Tribolium castaneum: one gene and its partners. The main gene of each other region encodes a partner of the protein of the gene in region 2 in a complex. Links are inferred from orthologs where the notes say so. Each region holds a gene or a part of one and is shown on either strand. Other genes may lie near its edges. The genes, in order: Sf3b1, Sf3b2, splicing factor 3B subunit 4, mdlc, cysteine-rich PDZ-binding protein, l(2)37Cb and Srrm1.

What was found.
Region 1: Sf3b2 (region 2) and Sf3b1 share a complex: the UniProt entries of both Homo sapiens proteins name them as parts of the SF3B subcomplex of the 17S U2 SnRNP complex. The link is inferred for Tribolium castaneum from reciprocal best matches to the Homo sapiens genes SF3B2 and SF3B1.
Region 3: Sf3b2 (region 2) and splicing factor 3B subunit 4 share a complex: the UniProt entries of both Homo sapiens proteins name them as parts of the SF3B subcomplex of the 17S U2 SnRNP complex. The link is inferred for Tribolium castaneum from reciprocal best matches to the Homo sapiens genes SF3B2 and SF3B4.
Region 4: Sf3b2 (region 2) and mdlc share a complex: the UniProt entries of both Homo sapiens proteins name them as parts of the minor spliceosome. The link is inferred for Tribolium castaneum from reciprocal best matches to the Homo sapiens genes SF3B2 and RNF113A.
Region 5: Sf3b2 (region 2) and cysteine-rich PDZ-binding protein share a complex: the UniProt entries of both Homo sapiens proteins name them as parts of the minor spliceosome. The link is inferred for Tribolium castaneum from reciprocal best matches to the Homo sapiens genes SF3B2 and CRIPT.
Region 6: Sf3b2 (region 2) and l(2)37Cb share a complex: the UniProt entries of both Homo sapiens proteins name them as parts of the minor spliceosome. The link is inferred for Tribolium castaneum from reciprocal best matches to the Homo sapiens genes SF3B2 and DHX16.
Region 7: Sf3b2 (region 2) and Srrm1 share a complex: the UniProt entries of both Homo sapiens proteins name them as parts of the minor spliceosome. The link is inferred for Tribolium castaneum from reciprocal best matches to the Homo sapiens genes SF3B2 and SRRM1.

What each region holds. Positions count from the first base shown.
Region 1 is NC_087395.1:16,040,238-16,044,179, reverse strand, and holds the start of Sf3b1 (splicing factor 3B subunit 1), read right to left. Parts: upstream 2,801-3,942; 5' UTR 2,684-2,800; coding exon 2,656-2,683; intron 2,602-2,655; coding exon 2,333-2,601; intron 2,284-2,332; coding exon 2,157-2,283; intron 2,152-2,156; exon of another isoform or gene 1,719-2,151; intron 1,515-1,718; coding exon 1,435-1,514; intron 1,322-1,434; coding exon 1,133-1,321; intron 1,085-1,132; coding exon 1-1,084. Other genes in the region: corepressor interacting with RBPJ 1, read right to left, coding at 2,951-3,137. UniProt on the Homo sapiens protein: Component of the 17S U2 SnRNP complex of the spliceosome, a large ribonucleoprotein complex that removes introns from transcribed pre-mRNAs.
Region 2 is NC_087396.1:14,198,314-14,202,578, forward strand, and holds the start of Sf3b2 (splicing factor 3B subunit 2), read right to left. Parts: upstream 2,801-4,265; 5' UTR 2,654-2,800; intron 2,530-2,653; 5' UTR 2,495-2,529; coding exon 2,395-2,494; intron 2,344-2,394; coding exon 2,117-2,343; intron 2,065-2,116; coding exon 1,883-2,064; intron 1,832-1,882; coding exon 1,630-1,831; intron 1,577-1,629; coding exon 1,400-1,576; intron 827-1,399; coding exon 594-826; intron 457-593; coding exon 102-456; intron 48-101; coding exon 1-47. Other genes in the region: uncharacterized protein LOC103313715, read left to right, coding at 3,167-4,265. UniProt on the Homo sapiens protein: Component of the 17S U2 SnRNP complex of the spliceosome, a large ribonucleoprotein complex that removes introns from transcribed pre-mRNAs.
Region 3 is NC_087395.1:2,320,617-2,322,969, reverse strand, and holds the end of splicing factor 3B subunit 4, read right to left. Parts: intron 1,331-2,353; coding exon 542-1,330; 3' UTR 501-541; downstream 1-500. UniProt on the Homo sapiens protein: Component of the 17S U2 SnRNP complex of the spliceosome, a large ribonucleoprotein complex that removes introns from transcribed pre-mRNAs.
Region 4 is NC_087396.1:11,857,735-11,860,831, reverse strand, and holds mdlc (E3 ubiquitin-protein ligase RNF113A), read right to left. Parts: upstream 1,741-3,097; 5' UTR 1,719-1,740; coding exon 1,601-1,718; intron 1,509-1,600; coding exon 1,294-1,508; intron 1,239-1,293; coding exon 766-1,238; intron 723-765; coding exon 545-722; 3' UTR 501-544; downstream 1-500. Other genes in the region: probable chitinase 2, read right to left, coding at 148-226; vih (ubiquitin-conjugating enzyme E2 C), read left to right, coding at 2,049-2,152, 2,205-2,625; Syx16 (syntaxin-16), read right to left, coding at 2,815-3,097. UniProt on the Homo sapiens protein: Required for pre-mRNA splicing as component of the spliceosome. As a component of the minor spliceosome, involved in the splicing of U12-type introns in pre-mRNAs. E3 ubiquitin-protein ligase that catalyzes the transfer of ubiquitin onto target proteins.
Region 5 is NC_087394.1:8,405,689-8,408,049, reverse strand, and holds cysteine-rich PDZ-binding protein, read right to left. Parts: upstream 1,155-2,361; 5' UTR 1,038-1,154; coding exon 865-1,037; intron 807-864; coding exon 677-806; 3' UTR 501-676; downstream 1-500. Other genes in the region: Noc1 (CCAAT/enhancer-binding protein zeta), read right to left, coding at 1,260-1,627, 1,675-1,803. UniProt on the Homo sapiens protein: As a component of the minor spliceosome, involved in the splicing of U12-type introns in pre-mRNAs. Involved in the cytoskeletal anchoring of DLG4 in excitatory synapses.
Region 6 is NC_087398.1:7,190,229-7,194,516, forward strand, and holds the start of l(2)37Cb (pre-mRNA-splicing factor ATP-dependent RNA helicase DHX16), read left to right. Parts: upstream 1-1,488; 5' UTR 1,489-1,649; coding exon 1,650-2,002; intron 2,003-2,050; coding exon 2,051-2,367; intron 2,368-4,288. Other genes in the region: T-cell activation inhibitor, mitochondrial, read left to right, coding at 1-419, 467-567, 675-818, 868-999, 1,047-1,281. UniProt on the Homo sapiens protein: Required for pre-mRNA splicing as a component of the spliceosome. Contributes to pre-mRNA splicing after spliceosome formation and prior to the first transesterification reaction.
Region 7 is NC_087398.1:3,112,110-3,116,109, reverse strand, and holds the start of Srrm1 (serine/arginine repetitive matrix protein 1), read right to left. Parts: upstream 2,801-4,000; 5' UTR 2,505-2,800; coding exon 2,490-2,504; intron 2,393-2,489; coding exon 2,303-2,392; intron 2,253-2,302; coding exon 2,130-2,252; intron 2,081-2,129; coding exon 1,910-2,080; intron 1,859-1,909; coding exon 1,521-1,858; intron 261-1,520; coding exon 1-260. UniProt on the Homo sapiens protein: Part of pre- and post-splicing multiprotein mRNP complexes. As a component of the minor spliceosome, involved in the splicing of U12-type introns in pre-mRNAs. Involved in numerous pre-mRNA processing events.

The DNA of each region.
Region 1 (3,942 bases), on a different chromosome or scaffold from region 2:
ATATTTTGTGGACGTAGGGACGGACTAAATCGTCCAATTTGTACAAAATTCGGTCTATGACTTTGACTAACAAGTGACGTTCTTGGTCCTCCAGAGTTGGACTCATTAAAAGGGGCAAAATTTGGTTAAAAAGGGGCCCTGCACCGAATTCTCGAGCCTTGTCTGTGATTTGCCTCAAGGCGGCTTTTCGCATGGGAGGGGTCCCGTTTTTGATCTTTAGGAGTAGTTTCATTATTTTCCGTTCTTTCTGTTCCTCAGGACTCAAAGCTTCTTCATCAACATCGACCAATAATTTATCAAAATATTGCGCATCTTCTGGTTTCATGAACGGCAAATTCTGCCCTTTTGGTTGATTATCCAGATATTTGGCTGTCTTATCTTCCTGTTGGATGAAAAATCCCTGGGGAGTATTAACCATGGGTGTGGGCGTGGCTGTCAATTTCCTTGCTGGCGTCCTGATGGGTATATACCCAGCCGGAGGTGCCAAAATCTTGTACCCCGGCGGAAACATCGCATCCAATTCCTCATCCGAATACGGCCTATTCCTCTCGTCAATCTCCCGCTCCCATCGATAGGCCTGGAGTTGTTCCGGAGTCATGGACGCCAAGTGTCCCGGAGTGGGCGTCGCCATGGCCATCGCCTTGACTCCGACCGGAGTTGACCCGCCCGGAGTCAGCATCGGAGTGGCATGGCTTGGCGTTCCGTGCGGCGTTTGCGGCGTCATAGCACCCGGAGTCATGTGCGCCGACGGTGTCTGAACAGAGGGAGTTTCATCCCAACGGGAGCGGCGTTTGGACGCTCCCGGAGTCGGTGTTTCGTGAATCAAGTCGGCTCCGGTTCGGTCGGTGCGCGGGGTTTCAGCCCAGCCGCTCGAATGTCCCGGAGTTTCACGCTCGGTTTTGGGTGTTTCATCCCAGCGGTTTCGACGACTGGCACTCTTGTCATGAGCGGGCGTTTCGCGACCTGGAGTTGCAGCCCCGGGGGTCGCGTCCCAGATACGGGTGGATTGGCCGGGGGTGGCGCCCGGCGTTTCACTGCCTTTGTGGCCGGGGGTTTCGTCCCAGCGGTGGTCGGCTGGAGTTTTCTGTAATTTTTTTATTAATAATTGGTTTTAAAAAATTGGGATTGTTACGTCAGCATCCCAGATGGGGGTAGCAGCTGCACTGTTGGTCGTTACGGAGAGAGTTTTCTTTTTGCTGGGGACGACGACTTCGTCTACGGTTTGGTCCCAGCGCCCCCGTTTCTTAGGTGCGCTCTTTACCTCACCGTTTGTTGATTTGAGTGAACCGTCTTTGGATTTTTCCAGAATTTTTTTCCTCAACTGAAATTAAATTACAAGTGGTCAAAGAAATCAACTTTGAGTTAACAAAGGACTCCATTGCCGGACATAATTACGAAAAAAAATTGGCTAGGTGATAAATTTTTGATACTGACCTCGTTTTCTTCTCCTTTGAGCATCTGCTCTTTCATAATCTGGGTGTAACCGCGGGCATTGATGTCTGGTGTTTTGCCACCTGTAAACATAACAGCGTTGAAAAACGCCAATTAGTAAACGGAAGCACTTGTTGGCAAAAAATGGTCAGACTTTTCTATTTAGTATCTGTTCTTTATTGAATGATTGAAAGATTTGGTTGCACCACAATTCACTCAAACTGATTATTTTTCGAATATTGGGGATTGAAAGGGAGTGAATTTGGCGAACAAATCTTGATACGTACGTGTGATTGTGCTCCATCACAAATCAGGCAGTTTCTCGCAAAACAACTGGTCAAATCGAACCTAGAAATAGGCTGGGGTAATTAATAATTTTCTATACATTGCATACACTCTTTCACTCTTGTTCGATTTTCGTTTACCAACGTTACATTTTACGGAAGTGATCCATTAAAATCGCGGCGATTACTTCTCTAGGAAGACACCCCTAAATGTTGGAATCCAATACAGAACAAATTAGTTTCTTTGTACTGATTTTTATTTAATGCCTACTTTCTCGAGTATTTTTGCTCACTCATGCATCCATTCGCTATCTTTCATATACCCCAATAACATACAAAACTTGAGATAAGCGACAGCAACAGCATTATCTCAAATTTCATATAAAACATAAACAAGTGGAAAAACGAGCTATAAATACTTGGACGAAATCAACTACTCACCGTCAGCGAACGGATCAACACGTTCGGGTGAAATAATCATCCGACGCCTCTTTTGCCTGTACTCGTCCTCTCGATCGGCAATCGTGGGCCTCCTCTTGTCAGCAAACGGATCAAAATCCTTGTCGCTCTAAACAACTCAGTTAACTACCACAAAACTTAAATAACACAAATCTCACCTGAGCGACATCATTGAGGAGCGCCACAGGGGCCCCCAGTCCGGTCCGTTTCTGACTATAACCCACATCGTCGTCCTCTTCATCGGCTTCATCGTTGGCGGCGATCGAGGTCACATAACCCTCGTATTTACCCTTACCGCCGCCCCCATCGTAGATCTCACTATCAAAATAGCCACTCTCGCCTAAACCTACACCCTTCTCGTTTCGCTCCTCTTCCACCGGAATTTCCTTCTTTTTAGACTGGATTTCACGAATTTGGGCCTCGATGTCTAGAGACGCAAAAAAGTCATGAAACGGGCTTTTGGGTGCAAAAAACAGCGTACCTTCATGAGTCCTTGGTATCTGTTCCATTTTCTAGCACCAATGCTTGTTGCTTTGGCTTATTTCGTTTCAAAACACTTTCAAGGAAAATCAATGACAAGCTTGCGTTACAAAATGGCGACTCATTAAGCGCCTGCGCGAAAATGGACCAATAGCCAGCCTGTCGCTAAAGTTGGCGGGATTTATAAATAAAATTCGGTGGAATACGTTTAAAAATATATTACGTTTTCTAAATTATTACAAGTATCATGATAATCCCTATAATCACAACAATTCTAAGAAATGTACAACAAAAACTTAAGAGCGTCTTCTTTTGCTATTTTCATAATAGGAATCATCAGATTTTCGCTTCCTGTCCCGTCTGTAGTCATCATTGTTATGCCGTGAGTGCTTTTTGTCCCTCCTTGACCTGTCCTCATCGGAACTTCTTCGCCCATTCTTTTCGTTCCTTTTACTGATTGCTTTCTCCACAATTTCCAGTTTCCTGTAATCAATTAATTAATAGTAAATTAAAAGATCTTTGTACTATTTTTTGTAATTGCCCCCTTTTTGTCGTTTTTAAATAAAAAATATTATTTTAATCGATTTAGGGATTTTTGAATTTTTGTAAAATTGTCATTTGTCAAAATTCAAGGCTAGTATGATTTTGGCAAAATATGGCTATAACTCAGTCTTTCAAATGGAACGATCCTTTTTTCTTAACAGCAATCGAACATCAATATTTATGGTGACTTTTATGAACACGTCCTATACCCATTTCCTACATTTTTAGAAATAATTACAAAAAAAAACACGGATTTTACTTCGTAATTTTCATAGTTAATCAAGTAGACCTTGCAAAATGGTCAACAACTGTCCAACTTTTATTTAGTTTTTAGTTGATTTATTATCAAATAAGCAGTACTTTTATTTAATAGCACAACTTTATCGTATTTTTCGAAAGTTTACTCGATTAAAATTGAAAACAATGAGCTTTTGGTCTTTTTTTTTTGAGATTATTTTAAAAAGTATAAGAGATAGATATAGGAGATATTGATAAAAGTCTCCATAAAAATCGATATCCTTTTGATTACCATTCAAAAATTTGAAAAAACTGTTATAATTACTTTTTGATCAATTTCAAAAAATCATAGTAGTCTTGCAATTTGACATTTGACAATCCTGAAAATTTGAAAAGACCCTTTGAACCTTTGGTTATCGAATACTAATATAATTATTTATTTATTGTAAAAGTTTCAAGAGTTGTGATTTTTTAAATGAACTACTGCAAATGAAAATTTTCGTACAAA
Region 2 (4,265 bases):
AGCTCGCCCCAGAGGGTGCGATCCACGGAAGGGTCCTCACCAATGTCCTAAACATTGATATTTGAACAAAATTCAATAAAACAATATTATAAAATACTTACATCTATGTTGGTAACATTTGTTCCAAACACATCACCGTACAATGGTTTTCCATTTTCGTCCACCGGTGGTTTTCCCCACCCACCGGCATGGTACCCAAAGGCACAACCATCAGGGATGGGGGCATTTAATCCCGGAATTTTCAAGTTGGGGTAGCTGGGTGGGGGACCATAACGTTGCATTGCAATCAACCATGGTGGGGGTACTTTATTAGCGTTAGGGCCCACAGGCATTCCTAAGGCCGTTCTTAATTCTTCTGATAAATCTCCAGGCTTTTTTTCCTTCAATCTGGTTTCAAACTCTTTGCCCTCGTAATAAAGGTCCCCATGGATGGTCATTTTGGGTTTAGTTTGCCACCTAACAATAACAATGAGATTATAAAAAAAATTCTAAATAAACAGCTGTCTATCTTTTTCAATTATTCCCAATCTCTACGAATACACAATTACAAACAATAGCAATTTTAGCTTTTATCAAAAATAAAAAAAACGTACTTGAAAAATGCGTCGTGTAATTTTTGATAATCAATATCGATTTTTCCAAGTTTGGGTCTGGTCTTTTCCCGCATTTTAGCTTTGAGTGTTTTGGATTCATCCTTATCTTGCAATGACGCACGCATTTCCATGATTCCAGTCCTTTTAATGAAATCTGGAAGATTAAAAGGTGGTTTCTCTATACCACGTTTACCTTGCAAGTACTTTCGTTTGAAACACCAATGACGTGGTACCTGAAAAACACATTATTCAGCCAATTGCTAACTCCGCATATATTTTCATCTGCTTTATTATTATGAAAAATCTGTTAAGTTTGTTCCAAAACATCACTTTTTAATAAAAAATTCAAATCCTTGCTTCTTATGCGTTCAGTAAAATGTTTAGTTTGGAACAAAGTTCGTCTAAAGAAAATAATAATTAATAATGCTACAGAATTCTATATGTGCGCAAAATTAAGAGTTTTCAAATTGGAAGTAGTGACGAAAATTATTTTTCCAAAGCTTACGACTTAATTCTATTCTTAATAATAATTTAATAAAAGGTATTCTCTTTTTTTATTAATTGTTAGTAGTTCCTGAATTTTGTTAACATTTTCGTGTTATAATAAAATTGTTACAAAGCATAATTTTTTGTGTCCCATCCGTAACTAATTATTTATAACAACTTTTAGAAGTGGCAAAATGAATTTAAATTGTTAATCCATCTTTTTTTTTTAATAAGCCATTTTTAAAATAATAGTTATGTGCCGTCCGTAATCATGGAATGGCTGCATTACTTTTAATTTTTGAGAAAATTATAATCGTTACCTGAACGGTATTTCTGTGAGCTTTCAATTGGACCAACAATTTTGGGTCCCTGGCTGTTACATCGTGCATTTCTACAACGTCTGGTCTACTGACTAGTTGTTTAAGCTCGGCGACGCTAAGTCGCGTCAATTTTTTAAGCTTTCTTTTGGACATTTTTGACTTATCGTCAAGCTTTTTCTGAAAAAAAAATAGATACATATTTTTTATTCATAATGTAATACAACACTTACGTCGTCCCCATCTTCCATTTCTTCCTGAAAGTGATCTCCTATGCTATTTAACATTGATTTACTTGACAATGATGTTGGCGTTGCCAGAACTGGGGGTGGGATATCATGCTTTTGATCAGTTATTTTAAACACGTCAAAAATGCTATAAAACTGCCGGTATTGTGGAGCCAGTTCAAGAAGACTAATCGTCTCTTGGACGTACCTTTAATTAAACTCATAACAATTTTGTCAAACAAATAGAAAAAACACCTACTCAACTTCCACATCTGTATTCCCATCCTCTTGCCCATCCTTTTTCTCCTCCTCTTCAGCCGCTTTATTCTGTTCATTCTCCCTGTTTTTCTTGTTCTTCTTCCTTTTCTTCTTCTTTTTATTCTTACTGATTTTGGTGGTCTCTTTCACCTGACTCTCTTCTTCATTTTCAACCACGGGTTCCTAAAAAAACAATCGTTATAACTATATTCATACAAAAAATTAAAAAAGCTACAATATTGTCATCTTTCTCCCAAAGCGCCTCTCTAGGAGTCTGCGGCTGTTGAACTACTGTTTCCGTTTCTTCTCGTTCTAGTTCACGCGCTCTCTGATTTTTTAACGCCAACACCTCTTCCAACACTTGAGGTAAAACAACTTCAGTTGGTGGCGTCTCCATCATCTGATCAGGAGGATCCACTTTTAGGGATAGCAATGAGGGGAGTTGTTTTTCACCACCAACACCTGAAATAGTCCAATGCGATATAAACAAACTGGTTGAAAACAATCAATTACCATGTTCACCAGCCCACCCTTGCATACCTGACCCAAACATCCCTTCCTGGTGGGGCACAGGGTGCTCCGGGACACCCTCTTGTAGCTGATCCGGATTCATTTGTCAGTAGAATCAGTGCTTGTTGCAGCCGTAAGCTGAAAGGAGACGGGATTATGGAATTGTTCTAACACTAAAAAGCACTTTTCTCAATTTGATATAACCTCTTTCTCATACTAATTTCTTAAAAAATGTTTGAATCAAAGCAAGAAGCGAACTTACTATAACAGATAGTCTGTTAAATTTTATCTACAATGAGGAAAAACCGCAAACTTTTAATATTATTAATAATTTATTGCGGCATTCAGCAACGTTTCGGTCGACATTTTTGTTTGGAATTAGAGCGAATGCGACCGTAATCGCGACAGCTCGATTTCCTGCAAAAGCGAAAACATTTCCCAAAATTTTCATACAGAATAAATCAAATGTAGTAGTTATTTATCCAGTTAGTTACAACTTTCTCTATTAACATCTTGTAAATACAATAATTTATAAATATTTAATCAATTTATTTTTCAAACAAGATGCCAATCTAATTTGGACCAATCACGCATCTCAATCTCAAATGTCAGATTCAAAAAAACGGTTTTGTTGTCGGTTTGTCATTTGTGTGCCTTGTTTACTGTAAAGTTACTATAAAAAGCGAATAATTGGATTTAACACAACGTTAAAGGTAAAAACCGAGTTTTTTTGATACGAAAATTACATAAAAATTGTTTTATAGCTTGCATTAAAATGTCAGTGAGGTCCAGCAGACGTTTAAATAAAAAACTAAATCCACCTGAAATGGAAAGCACCAGTGGCCCCTTAAGCAGTGCCAAAGCAACAAGAAGTGGACGAAAAGTCAGAAAAACGAACGATTTGCTTTTCTTCAGTTTTAATGCTTCTGCAGTGGAAAAAGAAGACGAAAATATTAAGCCAACGTCGTCAAAGCATAATAAACAGAATTTGCCTCGTTTGGAGTTCGATGAGAGCGGGAAAAGTGACAAAGGAAGCCCTTTTTTGTTCAAGGAAGTTCAAAAAATCTCGCCGCCACCTGTACCAAAAAATAAAAGAAAAATCGTCAAAGCTAAGAGAGTTCTTAGGAGTACCAAGCAATGTGAACTGGAAGACAAGTGCAATGATGAGACATTAGATCTCACTACAAAAAGTTTGAAGGAGAAATCTTCCGAAAATTCTGTAAATCTTGTGAGTGATGGTGAGGGAAGTTCACGTTTCATCACAGTCACGGAGAAAATGGCTCAAGATGGACACGTGAAAAAAGAAAATAAACATGGCAAGACACCAAAGGTCAAAAGACAGAGTGGGAAAGGAGAGTTTTCTTCGTTTAGAGACATTGAAGATTTTAAATCTCTTGAAGAACCGTCAGAAAATTGCAAGAGCGTAAATTTGAGCCCTTTAAATGAAGATGAGGGAAGTTCAAGCTACATTGAAGTCAACGAGAAGAGTACACAAGATGGACGTATTACAGAGAAAAATAGTCCTAGCAATGGTACTTTCCCCAATTTTGTTGCTTCAAGCAAGACACCAAAGACCAAAAAACAGAATTTGTCTTCTTTGGAAGCGGACGAAAGTGGGAAAGGAAAGTTTTCTTCGTTTAGGGAAATTGAAGATTCAAAATCTTTTGAAAATTGCAAGTCTGTAAACTTGAGTCCTGTGAATGAAGATGAGGGAAGTTCAAGCTACATTGAAGTGCAGGAAAAGACTACTACAGAGAAGATCAGTCCTACCATTGATTTGCCCAAATTTAATTTTGTTGCTTCAACGGCGAAAAAAGAAAAAAAATCTGAAACATCAAAGGACAAAAAACAAAATGTGCCTGTCATTGAGTTGG
Region 3 (2,353 bases), on a different chromosome or scaffold from region 2:
ATGAATTTCCAAGTGCTAAAGCCGTTGTGTGGACAGGATTTGGACAATCTGTTGGTAAAACTGTAACATGTGCTGAAATTATGAAACGGGAACACAATAATCAGTTACACCAAATAACGAAACTGTGTTATAGGGTGTAAGTTTGTTTTCAATTAAAAATTTCCGCTGACATGACTTAAAATAAGTTGGTGACATTGCATGGCAAACGCCACTAAGAGTGTCACCAACTTAATTTCAGCCTAAGACGACTTGGATCAGAAATTGCATCATATTTTACAATTTTGCAGAGTAGAAGAATTTTGGGATCCAGTTATTCCTGATTTAGACCAAATAGTTGTTAAACGAAAATTGCCAATGATACATATTCTACTTTCACTAGAAACATTAAGTTTTGAGGAATTAGGATATCAAGCCCCTGGTACCACAATACCATTTACTGGAAATAGTGACAATAATAAAAAGGATAATAATAGGAAAATCCAAAAAACAAGACACAAAACGAAATAAAAAAATTCACCTTGACTTTATTGTATTATTGTTTTTACCAATTATTTTCGCTAAAATTATTCGGAGGTGGTGGTGGAGGTCCCCTTGGTGGGAACGGTGGTCTCCCTCCACCAAAATTAACCGGCGGCCTCCAATTCGGGGGCCGCCCCCCTGGAGGCGGTGGCGGCGGGAAACATCCCGGGAACGGCGGTGCACCTGACGTTGGGGGCGCTGCCGAGTTTGGCGGTCCAGGTGGTGGTGGCGGTAACCCACCTCCACCTTGCCACGGAGGTGGTATCATCCTGGGGGCGCCTGAAGCTTGCGTTGAGGCAGGCATTGGTGGCAGAGGGGGCCGTGCTCCAGCGGCGGAGGTTGGAGGCGGTGGAGGTGCACCTGGTGGCAAGGGCGGTTGGGAGGGAGGTAATGGCGGAGGGGGGATCCCCGAGGGGAAAGAACTGGGTGGAGGAACTGGTGGGGGTGGAGGAGGTTGCATACTTGCCGGAGTGGGGGGTGGTGGAGGCATCATTCCAGCGAGGATTACGGGAGGTGGGGGCGGAGCGAGAGTCATTCCTGGGGGCATCATGCCCATGGGAGGGGCGTCGGCGAATAGTTGATGGGGGCGGTCGGCTTGGGAGAGGGGGTTTTGGGCTGCGAGGAGACGCTCGGCTGCGGAGCCGTGACGTTCGCCTTTGGAGTCTTTCTTGAAGGCGTAGGAGACGGAAATGGGGCGGTTGCAGAGGTATTGGCCGTTCATTGCTTCGATTGAGGCGTCAGATGCTTCGAAACTTGCAAAGTTGATGAAAGCGAAGCCTTTGGAATTGCCAGTGTCGGGGTCTCTCATTATCTACAATATTAAAAAATATAAAAAAAACGTTTGAAAAAAAAAATAGATTGGTATGTGGAGAAGCTGAACGTTTAATTTTACCAAATGGAGTGAGACAAATAACTCAACTGATAAATAACATACAGAGATTAGCAAAATTATAAATAAAAATAAATAAATAAATTTTGAAGGAAGAATGCTCGTATAGGTAATTTTTTTCAATACATGAGAATCCCTAAATCTGTCGCATAAAGCAATACAAGGCACTTACACCTGATTTAACAATTGGGGCTTTTCATGCGAAGCGGACAACGAAAAAATTTGAGATCTTGAAATTCGGTTATACAGGGTCCTCAAAAACTGGCGCACCAACTCAGTGGTACGTTATTGAGAAGCAAGTGTAGATTACGGGAAAAATGTTGAAAAAATTCCTAAAGTCATATTTTAAAAAATCTAGAGCTACAAACTTATTGTATTTAACTTCTTTACTTTTCATTATTTTTTAATGTTTTTATGTTTCACAGTAAGTAATCGTTTCCTAACAAAACGATTAATAATTATTTTTAAATTTTTAAATTTTTTAAAAATGTAAATTTACAAGAAAATAATACATTTCACACTTAACTTAGTTATTTTGTTTTGTTCCTATCGTTTCCAAATACTTTTACAAAATATAGTAGACAAAAACTTTTGTTTTCAATATTTAAATAACAATAATAACATTAATAATTCAGAGTGGCCCATTGCTTGGTGCAAAAGTGAAAGCGCACTACAAAAATTAACGAGAAAAAAGAAAAGAAAGAAAAAGAAATAAGAAATTATCGATATTTTTCTGCCTAGTTAGGTATAGTGGCGGTCAGCTCGATTTGCGTGTGCGTCATCAATTTCATTTTTTCATTACCAACACAAAGCTATAAAAAAATTATCAAAAACAATGCAAATTTAAACAGTTAAGGGCTATCTAAGGGTGGTATCCTTGAACATTGATTTACATGTGCACTTCGACAACACCGTCAAGTGTCACGAATTTGTCAAACTGACATT
Region 4 (3,097 bases), about 2.3 Mb from region 2:
AATATCATCGTTTCACCGTACGGTTTTTATTTAACTGTTGTGTCACATAAAAATCTTATTAACATAATGCATTACCACACAATACTGTGATAACTCGGTGATTAGAAAAACAATTAACGGTGATTAGGAACCAATTGGATTCCTTACCAGTAAGGGCCTTAACTTCATCCATGAAAGTCACTACGAAAATCACAAAAACAGCACAAACATTTTTTAGTGATACCATCTTGGTATTCTCGCAACTTTTGCACAAATGAGAGATGAACTTTATATTTCTTGTACAATATATATTACAGTTATAATGGCAAGGTAGCAGCTTTCTCTTTCGCGCGCGCGTTTTTGGTACTTTTGAGACAGAGAAAGATACAATGAATGTGTCCAGTTGGGGGTTACCCGCTTGACTGTTACTATACCTTTCACTCAGAAGCCGCACCTCACTAAGAAGTAGCGTCTTCTCTGTCTCACTCGCCTCTTCACGTGTGGGATTGGAATAAAACCAGTTCAATTTTTTATTTGTTTATTTATTACACAATTTACAAAAACATTAATCGGAATCCGAATCTGAGTCATTCTTTTTCTTAGGATTATCCTCTCGATTCAGCCGCGCTATGAGTTTCCGCGCGGGGTTGAAAACGCCACTCGTTTGCGTGTTGCAGACGAAGCACCTCGTCGTCTTCTTGTACCTCTCGAGGGCGCACTTCTCGCAAAAGTAGTGTTTGCACCTAAAATTAACTGTAATAAAGACTCGTAAAAGGTGCCTCCTACTTTGTGACAATCGGGTCCACGAAGCTGTCCCTGCAAACGACGCATTTGAACGGCAAATCCTCTTCGTCCGAGTCAATCTCGTATTGTTTATCCTCGTCGCTTTCTTGCCCATATTTGCCTTCCGCCCATTCCCGCTCAAGCTGCCAGCCGTGTTTGTAGTCACTCCTGTCGTGCAAAAATTTACAACTGTCCCCGAAACCGCAAAAGCCTGTTTCTTTGTAGTCCTTGCAAATGTCGGGTTGGTAGTCCCACCGGACGGTGGCACGCAGGTTTGCGGGGGCTCTGATGGGGCCCTTCCTGACCATTCCCGAACTGGCGTTGCCCGCAGCCGTGTCTTTGGGCTTGTAGTACTGTGCGTAGTTGTTGATGCCTCTGTAGACTTTATCGTCTTCCTTGCCCTCAAGATTTTTATTAATTTCTAGCCGCTTCTCGAAAATGGCTTGGGCGTCACGATCGCGCTCAGTTTCAAACTCCTTTAATTAAATAATTATTGATTGGATAATACTAGTGAGTGGTTAAGTGGCTTACAAGAGTCGCCGTCGCTCCCTGATCTTGAGGTCCCTCAGGCATAGCGGACCGTTTGGACTTGTAACTAACCATAATTTCCTCCTCACTGCTTGAGTAGTTCTGCTGCTCATGTTCTTTTTGTTTGGCTTTGCTTGTGGTTTGGAAGTTGGGGTTTGCTTTTCCCCGACGCCGGTTCGCCCGCTTCACCGCAGATTCGTCCTCACTGTTGGACTTTTCTGAAGAAATCGCAAACAAACATAACCTTTAAAACACGAAAACTAAGTCTACAACAACAGTGAAGGTTAATTCACGGATTTGGGGTACCCACCTCCTTCCGAACTGGATTTCTGGCGCTTCCGCGCCCCTTTATTTTTTATATTCCGTTTTTTAAATATAAAAGTGCAACTTTCATCAAGTCCTGTTTTAACGTCACGCGGATCATCCATCTTTGACAAGTGTCAAGTGTCAGTGCTGACGCCAAACAAAATATCAAAAATTTCAAAACTCAATAACGCCTTTGTGGTGTTAGACTTGAGCCAAAGCAATTTAATCTAATTTGAATTTGTAATTACACGTTTTCCTAGTGCGTCATAATGGTAATAGCAAGTGCTTGAATGTTAATTGCTTTCGCGGTTCTGTTGGTAGTTATGGGTGACGGTTCCTGATTGGCTAAATTTGAAAGTGCGTTGACGTTTGGCATCCATCTGCATCGTAACGAATTTTCTACAAATCAATTAAAGTAGAATTAGGATAATTTATTAGTGAACGTGGTAAAAATGGCCCAAAATTTCAATCCGTTCGTGGAGCAAGTGCCCGAGAACGTAAAGCAGGCCGAAAGTTCCAAGAAGGTATCGAACGATAATCACGCAGTGACAAAAAGGTGGGCAAAAAGTGAGTCTAAATTGGGGTGCTAATCTTTGTTCGATTTGCAGATTGCACAAAGAGCTTATGACTTTGATGATGTCCGAAGACAAGAGCATCTCGGCGTTTCCCGAGGGCGACAACCTGTTCAAGTGGGTAGGTACCATAATGGGGCCCAAAGACACGGTTTATGAGAGTTTAAAATATAAACTAAGTTTACAATTCCCGAACTCGTACCCCTACGCGGCCCCCGTAGTAAAATTCATCACGCCTTGCTTTCACCCCAACGTCGACACCAGTGGGAACATCTGCTTAGATATTTTAAAAGAGAAGTGGTCGGCGCTTTATGACGTTAGAACAATTTTGTTATCAATTCAGGCCTTGTTAGGGGAACCAAACACGAGGAGTCCGCTGAACACGACGGCCGCCGACAAGTGGAAGAAAAAAGAAGAGTACAAAAAGCTGGTGTTAGAGTCGTACAAGGAAGTCTAAATTTGATCTCGCATTAGAAAAATTTCAGTTATTTAAGATGTCATTGTGTAATAATAGACTGCGTACATATTTGTGTTATATAATTTTTACTATTTCTCGTGTGTTATGATTGAATAAAACGATCAAGTTTCAATAATTTATTTACATAAATAAATATTTGGCTTAGCGAATAAAAATACGTTATCACGACTAGGATTTCACGATAATCAAGGTAAAAAATAAAATAATTGTGGTTACAGCCAATACAAGGATCGCGCACATCTTGCGGTTTTTCCGCTGATAAGCGTCTGCCTTTTGCAGCTGTTTGAAGCCTTCGTAGACCTGGATCTGCGTCTGTTCCACGTTGTAGTCAATTCTGTCCAGAACTGTCCCCTGGTCGGCGACCATCTGACTGAGATCTTTGAAAATTTCGTTCAAGTCAACAATGGACTTAACAATTGCGTTCACTTCTTGCTCCCGCTCTTGCGCGAAC
Region 5 (2,361 bases), on a different chromosome or scaffold from region 2:
AAACTGAATAAAATTAAACGGCAGTATTGTGTAAGTGTATGGATAAAACGTCACCAACAAAAAATATAATCACTGAGATAAGTAATTACTGCAAGGTGGAAAACAAAGAGGTTTGTCTGATTCATTGAATTTTGTTACGACTTCGTCACGTTTTTTTTATATACAGGGAAGTGAATTTTTAAAATCCAATCGCTGAAATTCATTTCTAAAAGGTTATATACAGTGTAGCCACTTTTAGAAGTATTTAATAATACGACAGACATCAATTTTTTCAATTATTTTTTTAGTGCAATAAGACAAAATCGTATTTTAACTTTGTGGAAATAATATTACAGGTACAGTTTTTTAGTTTATAAAAAAGTCCAAATAATAATTCTAGAATATTTGATAGTTGCGTTTTAATAATGTATAGTCAACCTTAATAACAAAAAAGAAATAGGGATAGAATAGGTAGAAATGAATTAATAAGTTAAAAATGTTATCATAAAAATGAAATAAAAAACTTTTGTCATAAGTTATTAAATATAATTACACACCTTATCATTCAAGATAATTAAATTGTCGTACACTCACTGTATACAGACAGAAAACCTAACAGTACCTACAAAACAATGCAAATTGCTCTAAAACTTAGAATAGGCTTAATTTTGTTTAAAAGTAACACACAAAATGTAGTTCAAGTTGACGATTGTTTGTAATTCTTCGTACTCAACAATTTCTTACCACACATCGCACAAATTCCTTTTTTATAAGCACAGGACTGGCAATAATGTGACCCAACCTGGTGCACCTTTTGCCTACATATTCTACAATAAAAACATGAGAAGAGTAAATCAATTTTAAGGATTACTTGCATTAACAAACCTGCAAGTCTCAAAACTGGACGTGTATGGATTAAATCTGTTTTTGCTAGCTGTTAAAGCCTTGTTTTCGTTAACTTTCCTACCCCCTGACTCAGTTGTATTTCTAGCCCCACTTTTCCAAGGATCTGGTGTTATCACTTTGCCCAACTTCTTTTGGCATTTTTCGCACACCATTTTCACAAAACACGATAATTATTGTGAATTTGGTACGAAATTGTAAACACGAAGATAATAAACAGAACGTACTGTTAAACGTCACGAAAAGTTAGGTTATGGGTTATGTGTAGTTGTATATTCGCGAAATACAACCAACACGAATTAAATAAAACACAAAACTGGTGGATTCGTAAAGAATTATATTAATTAAAATGCAATCGACTGCTTCCTTGTCGATTATTAATTCTTCCTCTTCTTTGCCTTATTATTAAATTTATTTGGACCTTTCCTTTTCTTGCCAAAATTGCTACCTTTACTATTTTTCTTTTTGCCAACTACTTCATCAAATCCCTTCAACCACCTATTTCTACTCTGTTCCCAGGCAAGTTGTTTAGTGCTCGCATTATCCTTATTTGATAACGCATTTGAACTTCCTGGGGCTATTTTCGAACTACCTTCATCGTCAAGCAATGAGGCAAATTCTTCAGCTGATGCAAATATTGAGTTTGTGTCTTTGGATTTTTTCTTCTTTGATTTTGCTGACTTCGGTTCTTCATCGTCAAAAACAACTTCCTCGTCTTCATCGTCGTCTAAGTCACCCAGAAGCACTGCAAGCAAAGGATAATTTTGTGTTTTATTATTACAAAAAATATACTTTTGTCATCATCGTTCATTTCAAGGTCATCTTCATCGAAATCTTCATCTTCGTCCATTGACAATTCTTCGTCAGAAGCATCCTCCATCTCGCTATCATCGTCATCACTATCATCATCATCTGTCCGTTCTGGAAAACAGAGCAAAATACATTTTGAAATTAAGTTGGCAACACTTATTTTTATTATTGGTACTATAAATTGTAGGTGAAATTTAAAAATCGAGTACAAAAATTAACGTTTAGATTTGATAGTTATTGTGGCCAACTTAGATTTAAAATCATTGATCACTCAGATTATTATTATTTTTGTAAACTTAATCTACAACAAACTTAGGCATTTCTGTCTGGTTTCCAGCGTTTGCTAATAAATATTTAATTTTTTTTATCTATGTAATTCTTTTCAAAATTTTTCTACAATTCTTTTCTACAAATTAGCAGTTGTCAGCAAAATATACTTTTTTATATTAATTATGAATCTTAATCTGTTCTATAATTATTCTTTCCAATAAATACGTGTACTCAAGCTTCTGAGGTAGAAAAAGAATTCATTAAAATTAACAAAGTAATTAATATAGAAAAAAAGATTTTTGTTATTAATAATGTTGTTCCGGTCATTAAATTAAATTAAATATTTAGACTTCCTCAACCTACTTGATATAACATACACAATAATTTGAAAAAGTATAT
Region 6 (4,288 bases), on a different chromosome or scaffold from region 2:
ACACCAGCAACATCGATTTTTCGAAAGTGAACGAAAACGACCCGATCTTTGGCCCCATTGTCATGCGCCAAAAAATCAACGAGGCCAAAGAAGCCCTCAAGTTACGCAACTGGCTGGTTAAGAACTACCAAAGTGCCTTAGAAAAACTCGAAGCCAATCGGCCTCTACGCGAGGAGGTCGACCGTTTGCGCAAAAAAATCGCCCAACAGTGGAAGCTGACCGACGTCCGCTGGGACTGCGGCTGGAATGTCACCCATTTTCGGGGCTGTCTGCAAAGCTTTATGTCTCTGGCTGAACAACATCCGGAAGTTATGCACGTTTTGAAGGGCCGCACGCTGGTGTTTGCACCCTTTACAGGGATCAGCCTAGAGGGGCACATCATGCTCAACAGTGGGGAAGTGCGGCACAATTGGCTTGATGTAAGTGAAAATTTGAATGTGGTTTTGAAAGTAATTCTTGACCACAGTTGATCAAAAACGTGAGAAAGCACGACAAAATCCTATTCCGAATTCCTGGTTTTGAAAAATCCGTCTCGCAAGTCTTGAGAGGGATCAAAGTTGGCAGGAGGTAAGAATTCTCATGTTTCACATATAAAATTTAGTCGTCAGTTTTTCTCAGACTTTTGGTTATTATTGATTGGATTTGAATTAATTTAAAACGATTTGTTTTTTCAGAAAATTTATGCCGAAAGTTTTGGCGGGAGAATACGAGCGAAACCTGCAACAAATCACGACTTCTTTAAGTGACTATAGAGGAAGGCGGGGGTTCCCTAAGCAGTGGCCCCAGTCGTTAGAAGAATTTGAGATTGTTGTTGAAACGTATGAATTTTTTTATTTTAATTTAATCATAAATGTTTTATTATTTTAGGGAAGCTGGACCTTTGATGGTCTCTCCCACTGGTCAGTTTATAGTCCCGTCTTCCCTACCTGGATTTTTGTTAGTCAATTTTATCACAACCAATTTAGAACACGCCAAGGAAAAAATGACTGAATATAAAAAGTTTGTGAATGTTTTATTTTGATTCCCGTTAATTGTTTCTATTTCAGCGATAAATACATAGAGCGGTCTTTGCAAAAACAATGCATGGATGAATTCAAGTTATTTAATCTTAGGAAAGATGATAATATAACACCGGATTTAATGATTAAATGCTGTGAACGGCTCTTAGAAAAAAAAATTGATATAGAACAATATCTAAACGGTATACATTTAAACGTAGCTACTTACTACTCTGTTCTTTCAGATGGAGTGGTTTGTATACCTTGGAATTGGAAATTGTGATAGTAGATGCGAAAAAAGACCAAAATTTTCACTTCTTCTAGGTAAAAAAATATTAACTTGTAAAATTATGTGATAAGAAATAAATCTATATTAAATACAAGTATTGGTTTATTTATCCCTGTGTCACAGCCTTTTAATATTTTAATAAATTGGTTTGAATGCAATCACTAAAATCGCATTCTCAAAATTTCGGTGCCACCGGACTTGTAACCTAACCACTTGTCAAGTTTGTTTTGACATTTAGAGGTTATGTTGTTGGTGGAAGAATGTAAAATTCAGTAAAACACTCTTTAATTAAGCAAAAAACTACACATATTAGCGAGGCACAAGTAAAATTTTGTAGTCAACACTTGCTGGAGTGCCTCACCATGGGCAAAAAAGACAAGAAGGGGCGTAAGCGCTACGAATCGAGCTCGGACTCCGAGTCCGTGGACAGTGAGGAAGAAGCTCGTCGTAAAGACCTGAAAGAACGTGACGAGTTCGCTAGTAGACTCAAAAAACGCGATGAAGCCAAAGTCCGCAACATTGTCCAGGCCTCAGACCGGCGCGCTTACGAGGAAGCCGCCAAGAGACTCAAACTGGAAACTGAAGACCGCGAAAAAATGATCCCCGCCTTGAGGGTGCAGTCAAGACGTAAATATTTAGAGAAACGTAAAGATGATAAAATCGCGGAATTGGAGGAGGATATCGCTGACGATGAGTATTTGTTCGAGGAGGAGATGTGAGTTGGTGGAATGATTTTGCGGTAAATGCCAACCTGAGGTTTTAGATTAACAGAACGTGAGAAAAAGGAGCGCGACCGTAAGCGGGAATTGCTGCGGTTGGCACAGGAACATGAAAAAGCGCGTGAATTGGAAAGGGTGCAGCGGTACCACATGCCCAGGGATTTGGGCAAGGGGTCAACAGCGGACTATGTGGAAGTTGATGAGCTGGAAAAGGTGCCCCAGTCGGAGCAGAAGAAATGGGAGAAGGACCAAATGGCGTCGGCGGTCTTCAAGTTCGGGGCCAAGGATTCAGCCAAGAAGGACGAGTACGATTTGTTGCTGGAGGACCAGATTGACTTCATCCAAGTCTTGCAAATGCCAGGTCTCTATTTTTTATAGTATCTTATGATACTTCGTCCCAATAAATGGAACATTAATTGCGTCATGAGCCATGAAGTAACAAAATGATAATTCGTAAAAATTAATTCTGAAAAAAAAATTTCGTATCTTACAAAAGCACAAAAAGCAGTAATAACGTTTCATTTGAGAGAAGGCTAATTAATTGAATATTAGCAAAAGTATGTAGTTTTGTTGGCTAAACGAAAAATTGAGGACTAGAATATTTTCATAAAATTATTACGGCAAAAGAAAATAATTTACTATTTGATGTCTCACAGAATTTTTATTGGAAGAAAATAGATAAAGAATCGTCCAAAATAAGTCAATTTCGGCTAGAATACGGCTTTTCAGCCACTTCTCAAAGAGTTTTCTCGTTTCTAAGCAAGAAATTGTACAAAATGAATGGTTTTCGTCCGAACTAGTGCATACACCGTTCTTTTGAGCTAGAATAAGGCGTTTTCAATCTTCTTTTATGCGTTGTTTTTTTGTTTTTAAGCAAAGAATCGCCAGAAATAAACCGTTTTCATCCAAATTATAACATAAATAGTTGTTTGTTTCCGGCTAAAATAAGCCGTTTTCAACCACTTCTCAAAAAGTTTTCTCGTTTGTAAGCAAAAAATTGTACAAAATGAATCGTTTTCGTTCTAACTAGTGCATAAACCGTTCTTTTGAGCTAGAATAAGTCGTTTTCAATCTTTTTTTATGCGAGTTTTTTGTTTTTAAGCAAAGAATCGCCAGAAATAAGCCGTTTTTATCCAAACTATAACATAAATCGTTGTTTTCGGCTAAAATAAGGCGTTTTCAGCCACTTATACAAGAATTTTCTCGTGTCTAAATAAGAAATTATACAAAATGATTTTTTTTTTCGTTCTAACTAGTGCATAAACCGTTCTTTTGAGCTAGAATAAGGCGTTTTCAATCTTCTTTTATGAGAGTTTTCTCGTTTTTAAGCAAAGAATAGCCAGAAATAAGCCGTTTTCATCCAAACTATAACATAAATCGTTGTTTTCGGCTAAAATAAGGCGGTTTTCAGCCACTTCTCAAAGAGTTTTCTCGTTTCTAAGCAAGAAATTGTATAAAATAAATCGTTTTCGTCCAAATTAGTGCAAAAAAAACGTTCTTTTTATCTAGAGTTTTTTCAATCTTTCGTTTTTAACCAAAGAATCGTCAGAAATAAGCCGTTTTTATTCAAACTAAAAATAGAGAAAAGACAAAGTATTGACTTGCATTTGACCTTTTCAGTTCATAGTAGGTAGATTTAATTAAAATAATTGCTCTGTATTTCTAAAAAGTAGGCATTTATTTTTTTATTTCTCTGTAATCTTCTTACAAGAACCGATTTAGCACCTGTTTAAGAATCATTTGGATACTTTTTCATTAAATAAGTAATTTATAGGTAAATTGTATTGCTGTTTGAATGCTCTCAATTGAAAATATTAGCTTAATAGTTCCATGACAAATAGTTAATGTTGAACTATACTGAGAACGTCTGTGGAGGAGCTGTTCAAATAAACACATGAACGCAAAATTTGAAATAAAATGTTTAAGAACAGTAATTTAAAAATGGTCTTTACGTCACAGATCAGTTTTTATCTTATTTTAAATATTTGTACCCGAGATTAAATAAGTTAAAGTCGATTTATTTTTCTATAAAAAAAGTTACCTTCAAACCGCATGAAAAAAATATCGCAATGAGAATTTTATTTACTAAAAAATGGTAGATGCATAATTTTTTTATACAGGATGCTCAAAAACTGGCGCACCAATTTAATGGTACGTTGTTGAGCAAAATTCGTTAAAAAATTCCTAATCTCATATTTTAGAAAGTCTAGAACTACAAACGTATTTTGTTAATGTCTTCAGTTTTCATTATTTTTTAATGTTTTTATGTTTCTCACTAAGTA
Region 7 (4,000 bases), on a different chromosome or scaffold from region 2:
TGGAGCGGGAGCGACGTTTCTCCTTGTCCTTGGAGAGGGAGCGCGACTTGCGATCCTTTGATGCTCGTGGACTAGACGACGAACGGGATCTCGAATGCGATTTGCTGGGTGACTTGGAGCGTGAAGCCGACTTTGAACGGGAGCGAGATACTGATTTCGAACGGGAACGGGAGTTACGCTGCTGTTGCTGCTGTTTGCCGTTGCCGCCGGCCATGGACATCAGCTTCGCTTGAAGCTTTGACACGGGCTGGGAACTCTCTCTAGACAGTAAAGCCAACGTTAAACCTGCCCACATCGTTTGCAAAACGGGCAACAAAAATAATGGAATCAAGACGAAGCCAACGATGCATTTTGATTACACAAAATGTCCGAACAAACATTAAATACATCGGTACAACCCATCACATACAAAAAAAAGGTAACGCTATTATTTAAACTGTTATTCTTCCTTACAAGTGGTTTTTAATTTTTGTAATTATTTTATACAATGGACGATAAAGTTTTATAAAACCAATAAGACTGAGGTATTTATTTATAGCCATAATATAGTTTATATAACTGACTTTTTTTAATAAAAGTGCTTGGACGCAAGCTAAGACAAAAAAACTTTAAAAATGTTTTCTTGGCAAAGAAGAACACCGGGAAATAAAACTTCTAATACAAATATAAAAAATCTATTAATAAATTCGTGTTTACCAGGCACTGGCACGATAATGATTAGTGTGAAAAAAAAAACAAAATAAAAAGTGATAAATACCAACGTAATTTTGTAATAAAAATAACATTTATTTTAATACATAATTAAAAAATGTTTTAATAAAGCTACAGAAAAAATATTGTACGTTACTCTTATGAAAACACAACGTATCACTCACCCACGTAATGCAACATATCGTTTTTAATCCTTGTAACGTAAATAACCGTTTGCATAATTTTTCGACGTAATTAAAAACAGATTACAAAAAACCTGTAAACTAATATCTATTCGAATAATTTTAAGAAAATTATTTGAATCACATAACAAAGTCAACTTGCTCACACAACTACGTCCATTTCCAATATAACGTTCCATCATTAGATGATTAAAGCTGCATCATCAATGCATGTTGACAAAGAATGGTTTTTATTAAATACATACAAAATCACAAAAATTAATCCACAATTATTTTAATACGTTAACAAATAAAAATAAAATCAATCCCAAAACGTGCCAAAATAGCGCAAACCTTAGAAAACTTATTAAACAAAAAATCCACGCAGTATTAAAATGTGCAAATTTTTTCACTTGCTTAAAATACTTTTAGCCAGTGATATAATCAAGAAAGAAACCAACTTTCTCTAACGTTCTTTATTTATTTATTCAACGAATTTTGCGCGTCATAAAAATAATAACCATTTTTAGCATCTTGCTGAAATTGTGTCGTAACACGAGTTACTGAAGCAATTTACAAAACTCACCACTTACCACAACGTGCAATTAATTTCCGCAACAAATTTAATCTATCAGTAAACAAACTTACGAATTATGTTTAGAATTGGCAGTACTGCTTTCCAATTTGGCAGAATCCTCTCTGCCATTATTCTCCCGTTCGTTGGGACTTGCGTTGCCGTTGTTCCTCAAATCATCAATCTTGATCCTGGATCTGGAACGGCTCCTTGACCTCTTGTCCTTCCCTCTATCGTTGTTCCTGCTGGACCTTTCAACCGACCGCCTCCTGGGCCGCGACCTTGACCGTGATCTCCTCCTAGACCTGGACCTGTCCCTATCCCTGTATTTCTTCTCCTTGTCGGACTTTTCGCGTTCGCGCTCTTTTTCTCTTTCCCGGTCCCGAATCTCACGCTCTTTTTCCTCTTTCTCCTAATATAACACAAGCGGTGATACCACCAAAAGTATGTAATTTATGCAAACCTTCTTTTTTATGATTTCTTCACGCTTCAAGTCCAAGAGTGAGTCGGGGATTCCGGACGGGTTCTCCTGTGCTGAGATCAAGAGCGCCCACAGCTCGGCCATGAACTCGCGCGCGTTTTTCCCATGCAGAAACCCCGTAAGATTGATTTGGATCTTTTTAGGATCGGGAAACTGCAACGTAAATATTTAAGCAAGCGAGTTTCAGTTGGCAATGTTGTACCTTCTCATCTAGTTGATTATAAACAAAATCGACGACGACGTCGTCATCAATTTTCAAGATTTCCGTTAATTTGTCTTGGATCCACGGCTTGATGACATCAAGTTTAATTTTGGACATATCAACCTGCAATTGAGCGCTGCTTTATCACGGTACCTACGCTTGGCTTAATTTACCCTCTGACTCAAACAATCGCTGAACTTCATCTGCTTCAGGAGCTTTTTTTCCTTATCGCTGAAGCGATTGTCTTGCTCGGTGGTTGTGCCCTGAAACGAGTTGTTTACAACAATAATCCCTTAAAATATTTGACAGTTCTATTAATAAACACCAAGGGGGGACGTAATCCACTTGCAAAAAACTCACCGTATACATCATCATAGAGTCCGGAAATGGTCCTTTCGTTGCAAACTAACAAAAACCACTCAAATTACTAAATCAAGAAACGAGGAACTGTAGCACAGACGCCGGTACTTGACTTCACGATATACACATAATTGAATTCTTCACATGATTTACTATAACACTAAACTACAGCGGTTAATGCAAACTCCCGATTAACGCGACTCACAATAAAAAAATCATCGTTTTTTACAATTAATCGCGCACTAAATTCTACAAATCCATGTTGCTTCCAACAAAATGGCGTGGCGTCATGGCGTCAAATTTGTTGATAATTCCAGATTCTGCCTTACCACCGCAGCTCTACCGCACCGACCGGGCCAAGCGCGACTTTAAAATCTGAGAACTCATTCAAACCTATTTTAATAAAAGCCGCTTTATCGCAAAACTACAACAACGCCCAACCACGTATTTTACTAAAAATGAGGCAAAAACGCTACTTTGTGCAAAAATAGCACACAAGAGCAGCCCAGTTGTAAAAAATAAAATTCCGGAAAAATTCCCAAATGAACTGCTTTTTGCCGGTCATTCACTCCCAATCAAACGCTCTAAACATAAAGTGCTAGTCAAAAAAACTGTTTTGTTCACGAAATCAAATCCCAATTGGTATTTTTCTTAGAACTCGAGAAACAAAGTTGTCTTCAGCACAACATAATTGGGGGCCCAGATGAGACAGGTAGCCTCCATTGAACCGTAATGGTCCGTCGACTATTAGCCAGTCATCTGTTATAATAGGAAAACAGGGTGTTCTCCCACTTAGCAACTGTTCTTGTTCTTTAATCCCTCCCAGGTACAACATTATATCATTTCCGTTTCACAAGTTCAAGAACAACCTGGTCTTCAGTCTACTGGCACACTTCAAAGAAATTATTTCGTGCAGCACCCGACCAAAGTGCACCAGTGACCACAGTGCCAGTTAGTGAAAAAATAAAGTAGAAAAAAGGTGGTTCAAATATGGATTGGCAATTTTGAGTGAAACGCACCGAAAATTATTGTTTGCTAGATTTGCAATTTTTCGAGTCTCATAAGTGCCAGAGTCAGGACAGGATGGCCATTAGCAAAAATACGGTTTTTGCGGTAAGTTTGCAGGGGCGCAGGGCTCAATTCGCGCGAGTATGTAGATTTACCGATATTCAAAATATTTGCCCTCTGCAGCCCACATAAACGCCGAAGAACAGTTATATGATGAGGTCAATGATCAGGTATCGCTTTGAGTAGGTACGTACTGGACAGGTGGTCAATGTAATGCACGGGACAGTGTCGGGTTTAGATGATTTTACCCATCATTGACGGTTTTTTGGAAAACCGGTGATGTCATCATCTTGTTGAGTATTTGGTCAGGTATTTCGTATTGTCTGAGATGACTAGCCTTCGGAATGAGGTTGAGATGGTAATTAAACGGTACTTTTCGTGATTAATTTTTAAAAGACCTACAGCCGAAGACGAAATTCATGTCACGAAGTTTCCGTGCTTAT